3 linked regions of the Arabidopsis thaliana genome follow. The protein of the gene in region 1 interacts with the protein of each later gene in a pairwise test. Each region holds a gene or a part of one and is shown in the gene's direction. Other genes may lie near its edges.

Region 1 (3,756 bases):
GCGTGTCATTCTAGGCTTATAGCAACAGTGTAGGTATGTTGCAATGTTGGGTTGGTCATGCCGTTTGGATTTATTTCCAGTGATTAATTCAGATTTTATTTTTCTTCTTAATTATCTACGTATAACAAAATCTCGCTAACCGCAGAGTGAATTTGCATGTCACTCATGAATGTTTTGAGTATAAGAAGTGAGTAATTTGTTTTATAAATATATGAACTTATGAAGATACATATTGAAGTTGTTTTGTTTGGGGGTAAAAAAGGTTATTTGAGTGTTATATGATAACTTTACTCAGAAAACGTACTTAGCAAAGGTAATTCGAAGTACCTTTGGAATCGAGTAAATACTGATAACTAGAAAAAATAAGATACATAATGGAGAAATAATTAAATATATTTGTATTTCTTTTTTGTTTAACAACGTACGTTTTATTATTAGCTAGTATACATTTACAACGGTTACGTAGATCATATAATAGCCATTTAAGATGTACAACATCTCATCTGGTTACTTCATTTATATAAAAAAAAAACGAAATCTCAACACATAGTAATGTATAATTACTTCAGTGGGGCTTCTCTTAAGACTTGTATTGAGAATATCCATATAAAACAAACTTTGTATTAAGATAATTAAAATTTTCTAATAGTAGGTATTGGGCTGAAGCCAAGATTAACATGGAGGCAGCTTTAAAATGTTTCCTTATATGATGCAGCCATCATTTCTACTCTACTCCGTAGCTCCAAACCCTTCTCGTAATTCACGTCTCTCATGCTATTCTTTTTGCTTTCGTCCTCCTCTCATGTGAAGCAATAACTATCTCTCGATTTTTTTTTTCAAATACCGAAAGCTAACTTTTTCAAATAAATGTCAAATATATTAATTTTCGTTTTGTATTTAGTATTTTATTTGTCAGCTAAGTATAGTGAGTTTTTAAGCTTACTCGTCGTATTTATCATATATTCATATACATATCACATTAGTCAAAGTAAATAAAAATTTGTTTTTGAAGAAAAAAAAAATACATATAACTGCGAGTCTGCGACTGTAACTGGACTTGCTTATTTTAGTTGATATGAGCTGAGTAAAATCACGTTGTCCCAGACCTTGCTCGCTACAATCGGCGAATGGTCTAACGTCCCGACACCTGTCCTCGATCCGCGGGTACTATATTCTTTGCAATGTGATGCACGCGCTGTTACTATTGGACAGTGTTTCTCACCTCACGACTGAGCCTATGCGAGTAGCGACAATCTCCGATTTGCTGTCTCCATGGTAGGGATTATCACAATCTCTGATTTTTTTTATCAGGAACAAGTAAATAAATAGCTTTGAGTTTTTGTTTTTTTTCTACATTCTTCGCCCAAAAGATGTAAGAAAATAAAGGATTTGAAACCTTGTTCTGTTGTTACTCCTTTAAATTCTTAAAAACTATAAATCATTATATCTTTGATCTGTTTCACAAACTAATCATATTCGTTGCAAAGTGAGAATTCGTCCCACTTTACTCTTTACACCGATACTAGTATTATAGATGTACAGCATAGTATTCCATATCTAGTTATTTAGTCAAAACTCTATATATTAAGAGGTAGGTTAATTAATTAAGGAGTAATTGAAGATTATAGAAAGAATAAAAAATACCATTTAATGGACAGAACCAAAGATAACTAACTATCATACTATAATGTTGAATTTCTTCCACGATCCAATGCATGGATAACAACATCAATCAAATCATACATTCATGCTATATAACATAGTTTTCAGTTACAAACTCTCTTTTTTATTTATTTCAGTTGTTCCTTTTCATGACCATATTAACATCAAATAATGCATTTTTTTCAACGTCTCTTGACTTACACCCACTAATATTGACAAATTGAACATCTATACGACTATACACACATAAGTTAAAAATGCATGCAAGTGCTAAGGGAATTTATAACATCTAAGGTTAATAAGACTAAGAAAGTATAAAATAAGAATACGTATTATGAATTTATGATATACTTTACTAATCTTTTTGAAAAATACTTTAATTTAATCTACTATAGGGGGTAAAAAGTAAAAAAGAAATAAAGATACGTTTATCCGCATATAGTACCTGGAAATAACAGAAAATAAAAACACAGGTAAGTACTTTGCCTGAGCTAGTATATGAACACTAAAGAGATACACACACACAAAAAGAGAGCAGAAACAAAACACACACACTTAAAGCTTTCGTCTTTACCTCTTCCCTTCTCTCTCTCTATCTAAAAAGAGTTCCGAGAAGAAGATCATCATCAATGGCGACTTCTCTCTTCTTCATGTCAACAGATCAAAACTCCGTCGGAAACCCAAACGATCTTCTGAGAAACACCCGTCTTGTCGTCAACAGCTCCGGCGAGATCCGGACAGAGACACTGAAGAGTCGTGGTCGGAAACCAGGATCGAAGACAGGTCAGCAAAAACAGAAGAAACCAACGTTGAGAGGAATGGGTGTAGCAAAGCTCGAGCGTCAGAGAATCGAAGAAGAAAAGAAGCAACTCGCCGCCGCCACAGTCGGAGACACGTCATCAGTAGCATCGATCTCTAACAACGCTACCCGTTTACCCGTACCGGTAGACCCGGGTGTTGTGCTACAAGGCTTCCCAAGCTCACTCGGGAGCAACAGGATCTATTGTGGTGGAGTCGGGTCGGGTCAGGTTATGATCGACCCGGTTATTTCTCCATGGGGTTTTGTTGAGACCTCCTCCACTACTCATGAGCTCTCTTCAATCTCAAATCCTCAAATGTTTAACGCTTCTTCCAATAATCGCTGTGACACTTGCTTCAAGGTTTGTTTGTTTTTTAATCGTTTTCATCAACATGATTGATATATATATAGTTTTTGCACTTGAAAAAGTTTTGATTTTTATTTATGTAAAAAACTGCAGAAGAAACGTTTGGATGGTGATCAGAATAATGTAGTTCGATCCAACGGTGGTGGATTTTCGAAATACACAATGATTCCTCCTCCGATGAACGGCTACGATCAGTATCTTCTTCAATCAGATCATCATCAGAGGAGCCAAGGTTTCCTTTATGATCATAGAATCGCTAGAGCAGCTTCAGTTTCTGCTTCTAGTACTACTATTAATCCTTATTTCAACGAGGCAACAAATCATACGGTACTAAGTATAGTCCATTTATTAATACTCATATATAGGTATATATGTATATAACTGTTGATCTTATTTGATTTAACTGGTGGGTTTAGGGACCAATGGAGGAATTTGGGAGCTACATGGAAGGAAACCCTAGAAATGGATCAGGAGGTGTGAAGGAGTACGAGTTTTTTCCGGGGAAATATGGTGAAAGAGTTTCAGTGGTGGCTAAAACGTCGTCACTCGTAGGTGATTGCAGTCCTAATACCATTGATTTGTCCTTGAAGCTTTAAATGTTTTATCTTTCTATATTGATTTAAACAAAATCGTCTCTTTAAAGAAAAAACATTTTAAGTAGATGAAAGTAAGAAACAGAAGAAAAAAAAGAGAGAGCCTTTTTTGGTGTATGCATCTGAGAGCTGAGTCGAAAGAAAGATTCAGCTTTTGGATTACCCTTTTGGTTGTTTATTATGAGATTCTAACCTAAACACTCAGACATATATGTTCTGTTCTCTTCCTTAATTGTTGTCATGAAACTTCTCTCTCCCTCTCTCTCTCTAAAGTTGTGTCAGATCTTGGGGCTTGTATCCATTTTGTGTTTCTTTAGTTAGGCAATGATCCTGTC
Region 2 (3,756 bases), on another chromosome or scaffold:
CCTATTTTATCATTTTTTCTTTTCCTGTTTGTTCTTTTTTAGTCATGTTCTTCTTCATTCCTTGTATTCATTTATAGGTCACCAATCGGACCCGATATGTTGATTTAAAGAGAGTGGACATATCAATTCTGGTAGCTGGTAAAAAGCATCTATTTCCTTTGCTTTCAAGCTCATGTGTTACACAAACATGTTATAAAGTCATTTTTTTGTTTTTCATATGCAAAGAGAACAACAATTGTATCATGGACAATACAGAACTTCTTTATTTTCATCTAAATAGCAATGCTAAAGAGAGCTTCTAAGGAAAAAAGTGTCTAAGATGTATTCGGCTGTTTCAAAAAAATATTGGAAGAGCCAACGAGAGATTACATACTAAGTGAATAATAATGGTCTGACATACAAATTAATGATCAAACCATTATTATGTCAAGAGCGAGGCAACCATATTCGATTAATTAGTTCGCACTGCTCTAAGAGATGCTAACGGGACCCTAGAGAGCACTTCCTCTTCCAAATCTCGGGGAAGATCGGACATCGCCATTGTTGAATCTCTCATCTCCAAGTTAGGTCAAAGCTTCTACAACTCTTTTCGTACCTTCCGGCTATATATGTAACAGCAATTGAAGACACAACTCACTGGGCTAAACCTGGGCTTCAGTTATCAAGTCGGCCTCTTAATGTGGGACCAATACATTTTTTGTATTTGATCGTATAGCAAAAACAAATGATTAGCACCATGTGGAAACATTAGAGAGTTTGTGTAATTAAATTTCAAGTTTCTTTTCTGTCTTGTTATATACATAAAAATGGTTACAGTAACCTTGTTTTTTCTAGTTATCCTCATATGCTCCAAAAACATAGGAGAAAACATAATCATGAACTTTTTGACCAATAGTATTGTTAGGACTTGAATTCTCTTAGATTTGTTAATTGATGATGAATTCTCTTAGATGTTTATAACACTATGAAAATCATTACTTAAAAAAAAAAAAACTAAGATGATCCATCAGTCACACTTTAAATGTTTTTTAAAATATGTTCATATGTTTTGTTTATGGCATTGCGTACATAATTTAATTAGACTAATTATAATATCGATCAAACAAAGAATTATTGGCTGGATTTGGTCGCAGCCATTAGCAGTCGCTCTCAACTAATATTATTACGAGAATCTCTAGCTGAGCAAGTATCTCGTATTTCTCACGCTCTGACGAAAACTTCTACGAGATAGACGCAGATATCGAGACCACGTCATTCCCCCTAACAAGGCAACAACATGTGGCGGACGCCAGTAAAACTCTGCTCAATTCACTTCAATTCCATTTTTCGAATCCGCGTGACGTAACCCACCTAAGGGTTTATAATCCACTACTTTGCACCCCCACCTAAAAATGCATCACAAGCGCGACAAGTGTCAATACAATTCAGATACGGAGAATACTCTGAGATCCCACATCTGCTTTCGGTGGGCTCACCCGCATCAGATAAAAACCCTAAGCTAAGGGATCAGACCAAACAGTTTAACCAAACGAGGTTATCAACTTATACGACAACGAAAGCACTTATCAATGATAAGTTAGTTAACTTATCAAACTACAGTCTGTGTGACAAAACGCATCGAAGAAAGTGGAGAACAAGTCGTACTTTTTTCTTTATCTTTTTCCTTTTTTATTAAATGAAAAAATATAAATAGAAATTTTGTAGCATCTCTGGGGTCAGCTTTTTCTTAATGTTCGCTTTGCGACGCGAGGAAATGCAACCTTGAAACCCTAGAAAACTCATTCTCAACTACGACTAAATCGATTTCGCAAACTTTGACCTACCCTTCTTTCACGATAAACCCAGATCGCTTAAATTCCTTGAATTTCTTCTTCTGAGAGTTTTAGGAAAAAATGTCGTCTTTGAGCAGAGAGTTAGTTTTCTTAATTCTCCAGTTCTTAGATGAGGAGAAGTTCAAGGAATCTGTTCACAAGTAAGTTTGTGCTTTGTCGTTTTTGTGTGCTTGTTTGGTTTCTCTGCGTAATTTTGGGTATAATTTGGAATTGGTTGATGTGTAGGCTAGAGCAAGAATCTGGCTTCTTCTTTAACATTAAGTACTTTGAAGAGAAAGCTCTTGCTGGAGAGTGGGATGAAGTGGAGAAGTATCTTTCTGGTTTCACTAAAGTCGATGATAATCGTTACTCTATGAAAATCTTCTTTGAGATTAGGAAGCAAAAGTATCTCGAAGCTCTAGATCGGTAATGATTTCTCTTCTTGTTTGGTCGGATATTTAGACTAGTGTTGTTGATTTGATACATTTGTGTGTTTTTATTACAGAAATGACAGAGCAAAAGCTGTTGAGATATTAGCCAAAGACTTGAAAGTTTTCGCTACATTTAACGAGGAGCTTTACAAGGAGATTACTCAGCTGCTTACTCTGGAGAATTTTAGGTTTCTTTTTTTTTTTACTTTGCCATTGATATTATTGAAGTTTTGGTAGGTGGTTACGATAATGTTGAAGAGTGTGTTTTTTTCTTAGGGAAAATGAGCAACTGTCGAAATATGGTGATACTAAATCTGCAAGGTCTATAATGTATACTGAGTTGAAGAAATTGATTGAGGCGAATCCTCTGTTTCGAGAGAAGCTAGCCTTCCCCAGTTTCAAAGCTTCTCGCCTGCGAACTTTGATCAATCAAAGGTGAACTAGGAGGAGTCATAATTCTTTCCTTTTTTTATAGAGATTAGTTAAAGTGTATGACAAGTGTGTTTGGGACATTGCAGCTTAAACTGGCAGCATCAGCTATGTAAAAATCCAAGGCCTAATCCTGACATCAAGACATTGTTCTTGGATCACTCTTGCTCACCATCAAACGGTGCTCGTGCACTCACTCCTGTCAATCTTCCAGTTGCTGCTGTTGCAAGACCTTCAAACTTTGTTCCTCTTGGAGTGCATGGTGGAGTAGGATCACTTACTTAACTTCCACCCATTCTATTATATAACTTAATGTTCATATTTTGAGGGTTGATGAAACAACTGTATCTGTGCAGCCCTTTCAATCTAATCCTGCTCCGGCTCCTAATGCCAATGCTTTAGCTGGATGGATGGCAAACCCAAATCCTTCTTCATCAGTTCCATCTGGTGTTGTCGCTGCTTCCCCATTTCCTATGCAGCCAAGTCAAGGTATAATTTATGTCACAACTTACAAGTGTCTGGATATTATGGTATCTTTCGTTTTTTTTTCTTACTTGTGATATTAGAGTTTTTAGGAAATGAATTTTAAGACCTGAAGTTCTATTGCTGTATTTCGTCTCAACAGTTAATGAGCTGAAACACCCTCGGGCACCGTCTAACTCTCTAGGATTAATGGATTATCAAAGTGCTGATCACGAGCAACTCATGAAACGCTTACGGTCTGCACAAACATCCAACGAGGTAATTGCCTTCAGGTTTTCCTTGTTTTTGAAACGCTTAGTGCTTACCTAGCAAACAAAACTCTTGTTGCTTTTGGAATGTGCGCTTTGATGTTGAGTAGATGGCTCTACTTTTCAAATCACAGGTCACATATCCTGCTCATTCTCATCCCCCTGCGTCACTTGATGACCTCCCTAGAAATGTAGTGAGTACAATTCGCCAAGGGTCGGTGGTGATAAGCATGGATTTTCACCCTTCTCATCACACTTTGCTCGCTGGTTAGTCCATTGCTACCATGAAAAGCTTAGTAGAGTTGAGATTTTTATTTGGCTCTTGTTATAATATGTCTGTTACTCGTAGTTGGT
Region 3 (3,756 bases), on another chromosome or scaffold:
AGATCTTAAGGGCCTGGCGACTCAACAAGATCAGACCCTTATCTACCGCCTCACCACAGACGTTTTTAACTCCCCCGTCGTTTCTTTTTTTTTCTTTTCTTATGGTTGACAAGTTAACTCACCAGTGCACCTGGAAATCCTATATTACTTCCAGGAGATGGCTTGCCTGAGGTGGTTTAGTTCGAAGATCAGACACCTGGACTTCATTTATCTGGTGATTGTTGTAGCGACTTGTGTAATATATGGGACGAATATATTCGAACCCGGACTCATCTCTGGAGTTGTACTATGATACCCACTGTTGTATTTTATGTTACTTGTAAAATGGTGCATTCCCTTCGAGTGAATGCTTCATGTAAAGTTGTTGCCATTTTCTGTAGTACTATCCCCAAGCGTCAAAATATTTGATTGCCTCAGATCTGCACTTAATTTATATGCACATTTACAGCTATTTCATTGCTCTTTGTCAAGCCTCTTGAAGGGCCTATATCAACTCAATTGTTATCAGAAAGTAAACTGGTTAGCATTGTTGTCGTTTGGTTTTAGAGGAAACTGAAACGGCTACATTAGAAATGTTTTTGGTAGGCGTGGGCAAAATACCCGAACCCGAAGAACCGAACCGAACCTGACCCTAAAAACCCGATCTGAATTCAAACCCAAAATTTTAAAATACCTAATCAGATCCTAAACTACAAAACCCGAATCCGATCAAGTTTCTGAACATATCTGAAATATATATACATAAAAATAATTTATTAGTAATAATCATATTTACAACAACTATTAAGTGCATAAAATATTAGATTTTGTATATATTTTGGATATTTTACCTACTTTTCGATAGATTCGGATAGAAAATACTCAAGTTTTTTGGAATTTTTTTTGTGTATTTTCAAGTAATTTAAATATATTTTGATACAAAATTTTGAGTTTTGGATATTCCGGATGAACTCGAATCCAAACCAAAAAAACCCGATCTGAATCTGAAATCTTAAAATAACTGAACCGTAAACCCAAAAAGACCCAAATACCCCAACGCCTTACCATATTAAATTAGGAGGAAACCCGTTCATAAATAATTTTTCGGGTTTGGGCCACAACAGACCGGCCCATTTCAACCGGTTCATAAATTCTAAATACTAGAAAATTCCAAATTAGATAAGTTTTTGTCCATCCTTTCTTTGGGATTCTTGACGAGTAACGTTTGATGTCTTTCTTAATTTGGTTGAATGATCAAATTTGTGATCCAAATTCTTACAAACTGATATGTTAATGAATCTATAACCAAAATAACGTCTAAAACAAAAAGCTGTAACGATTTGAAAGTGCATTTTTTCCCAAAACTATATAACTAATTAAAGAATTTAGTGTCATTTATCTAATGGATATACTTTTAACAAAATCTTATAAAACTAAAAATATTTAAGACAAAAGTGAAATGGAGATACGGAGGTGGATTGTAATGAGCTGTCCCCACCTGCAAAAATACGCACGCTTCACTGTCTGAAAGATGCTTATCTCTCTCTTTCTAACTTTCTTAATCCACAAATCTTTTTTAAACCTTTTTTTATTGGTGCTCTAAAATTGGTAAACAATAATGTTGTGATGAAAATAATGTAATTGAAAAATAACATAACTCATATTTGGGTAGAATTTTGATAAAAAAGACTTAAAATAATTGTGAAAAGTTATTTTTCTCCCCTAATTACTTTTTGATTTATATAATAACTAATCAAAAATCAATAAACGTTTTATTTAATGTTAATGACGGCATATATATTATTTATTTTAATAATAATATCCTCTTGCTGGAAAAGTCATCCACCTGCTTTTACATCATCAAACCTTTTTTTCTCTCATCTCTCTCTCTCTCTTCTCGAGACAAAGAAGAAGACAAGAGTCAAACTTGAAGGCGACAATCGGAGCTTCCATGGCCGTTTCTTCCTCTTTCACCAAACCCTAATTTCAATTTCATCTTCTTTTCCCTTCTTTCTCACCGGAAAATGGATCTCTCCGACATCCGAAACAACAACAACGACACCGCCGCCGTCGCCACCGGAGGAGGAGCAAGACAGCTAGTTGACGCATCTCTCTCAATCGTTCCCAGATCTACACCTCCCGAAGACTCAACACTCGCAACAACCTCATCTACGGCAACGGCGACTACAACGAAGCGGTCGACTAAAGACCGTCACACGAAAGTCGACGGAAGAGGACGTCGGATTCGTATGCCGGCGCTATGTGCAGCTAGAGTTTTTCAGTTAACGAGAGAGTTAGGTCATAAATCCGATGGTGAAACTATTGAATGGCTTCTTCAACAAGCTGAGCCAGCTATTGTTGCTGCTACAGGTACAGGAACTATTCCGGCGAACTTCTCTACTTTAAGTGTTTCGTTACGAAGTAGTGGATCGACTCTCTCTGCTCCGCCGTCGAAATCGGTGCCGCTTTACGGTGCTCTTGGATTGACTCATCATCAGTATGATGAACAAGGAGGCGGCGGTGTGTTTGCTGCTCATACGTCGCCGCTTTTAGGGTTTCATCATCAGCTTCAACACCACCAGAACCAGAATCAGAATCAAGATCCGGTGGAAACTATTCCTGAAGGTGAGAATTTCTCTAGGAAACGGTATAGATCGGTTGATTTGTCTAAAGAAAACGATGATCGGAAACAGAACGAGAATAAATCTTTGAAAGAAAGTGAAACGTCGGGTCCTACGGCGGCGCCGATGTGGGCGGTTGCGCCGCCGAGTAGGTCTGGTGCTGGGAACACTTTTTGGATGCTTCCGGTACCGACAACGGCCGGTAATCAAATGGAGAGTAGTAGCAACAATAACACCGCCGCAGGCCACCGTGCTCCTCCTATGTGGCCATTTGTGAACTCTGCTGGAGGAGGAGCGGGAGGTGGAGGCGGAGCAGCGACTCACTTTATGGCGGGAACGGGGTTTAGTTTTCCGATGGATCAGTACAGAGGAAGTCCACTTCAGTTAGGTTCTTTTTTAGCTCAGCCGCAGCCGACTCAGAACTTAGGACTAAGTATGCCGGACTCGAATCTCGGGATGTTAGCCGCTTTGAACTCGGCTTATTCAAGAGGCGGAAACGCAAACGCGAATGCGGAACAAGCGAACAATGCGGTGGAGCATCAAGAGAAGCAGCAACAGAGTGATCATGATGATGATAGTAGAGAGGAGAACTCAAATAGCTCTGAGTGAGTGATGTAAACTAATCTTGTGAAATCATTGAATGTGGTAAGAAATTGATTTAAAGCGTTTGTAGCGGTTTGGTTGATTGTTTTATTGTGAGATTTTGTGTGTTGTTGTTTAGTAGTGTTTAGACAAGAACAATTTATGTGTGAAGGAATTGTTAGGTTTGGGTCCAAATGGACTCTCATGGGTAGAGAATGTTTTCAATGTATAGAAGGAATGATAGTCTTTTCGATTTTTCAGTTTTCATTGTTGAGTTTCTTATATTTTTGTAGGATAAAATTGCATTCAAACCAAAAGAATAAAAATTGCATAATTAATCGCAATTAATAAGTTCCAGTGAAAGAGTTGGTGACAGATCTCACTTCTTTTCTGTATGCTACTTTTGTTTGATTTCTTTTTCGATCGAGCAAGGTCTTCTGCAACTGTTCTTTTTTCTGGCACAAGGATTTTCAAGGCACTAGTATGTATATAATATAAGACACACTGTTCTTTACTTGGAAAAAATTGAGTTTGGATACTTACATGATAGATATTCTAATAACATGCCTAGATG

Evidence for each region.
Region 2: the proteins of SPL (region 1) and TPR2 interact in a two-hybrid assay, tested with the Arabidopsis thaliana proteins (2 studies listed by BioGRID).
Region 3: the proteins of SPL (region 1) and TCP8 interact in a two-hybrid assay, tested with the Arabidopsis thaliana proteins (2 studies listed by BioGRID).

Annotation. Positions count from the first base shown.
Region 1 is NC_003075.7:13,681,995-13,685,750, reverse strand, and holds SPL (sporocyteless (SPL)), read left to right. Parts: upstream 1-2,156; 5' UTR 2,157-2,291; coding exon 2,292-2,822; intron 2,823-2,921; coding exon 2,922-3,155; intron 3,156-3,244; coding exon 3,245-3,424; 3' UTR 3,425-3,673; downstream 3,674-3,756. UniProt on the Arabidopsis thaliana protein: Transcriptional regulator of sporocyte development. Acts as an adapter-like transcriptional repressor recruiting TPL/TPR corepressors to inhibit TCP transcription factors. Required for nucellus and embryo sac development.
Region 2 is NC_003074.8:5,729,817-5,733,572, forward strand, and holds the start of TPR2 (TOPLESS-related 2), read left to right. Parts: upstream 1-1,702; 5' UTR 1,703-1,892; coding exon 1,893-1,972; intron 1,973-2,057; coding exon 2,058-2,237; intron 2,238-2,316; coding exon 2,317-2,430; intron 2,431-2,518; coding exon 2,519-2,677; intron 2,678-2,760; coding exon 2,761-2,938; intron 2,939-3,027; coding exon 3,028-3,160; intron 3,161-3,296; coding exon 3,297-3,412; intron 3,413-3,536; coding exon 3,537-3,669; intron 3,670-3,751; coding exon 3,752-3,756. UniProt on the Arabidopsis thaliana protein: Transcriptional corepressor. Negative regulator of jasmonate responses.
Region 3 is NC_003070.9:21,512,133-21,515,888, reverse strand, and holds TCP8 (TCP family transcription factor), read left to right. Parts: upstream 1-1,699; 5' UTR 1,700-2,003; coding exon 2,004-3,209; 3' UTR 3,210-3,557; downstream 3,558-3,756. UniProt on the Arabidopsis thaliana protein: Can specifically bind site II elements in the promoter region of PP438/PNM1.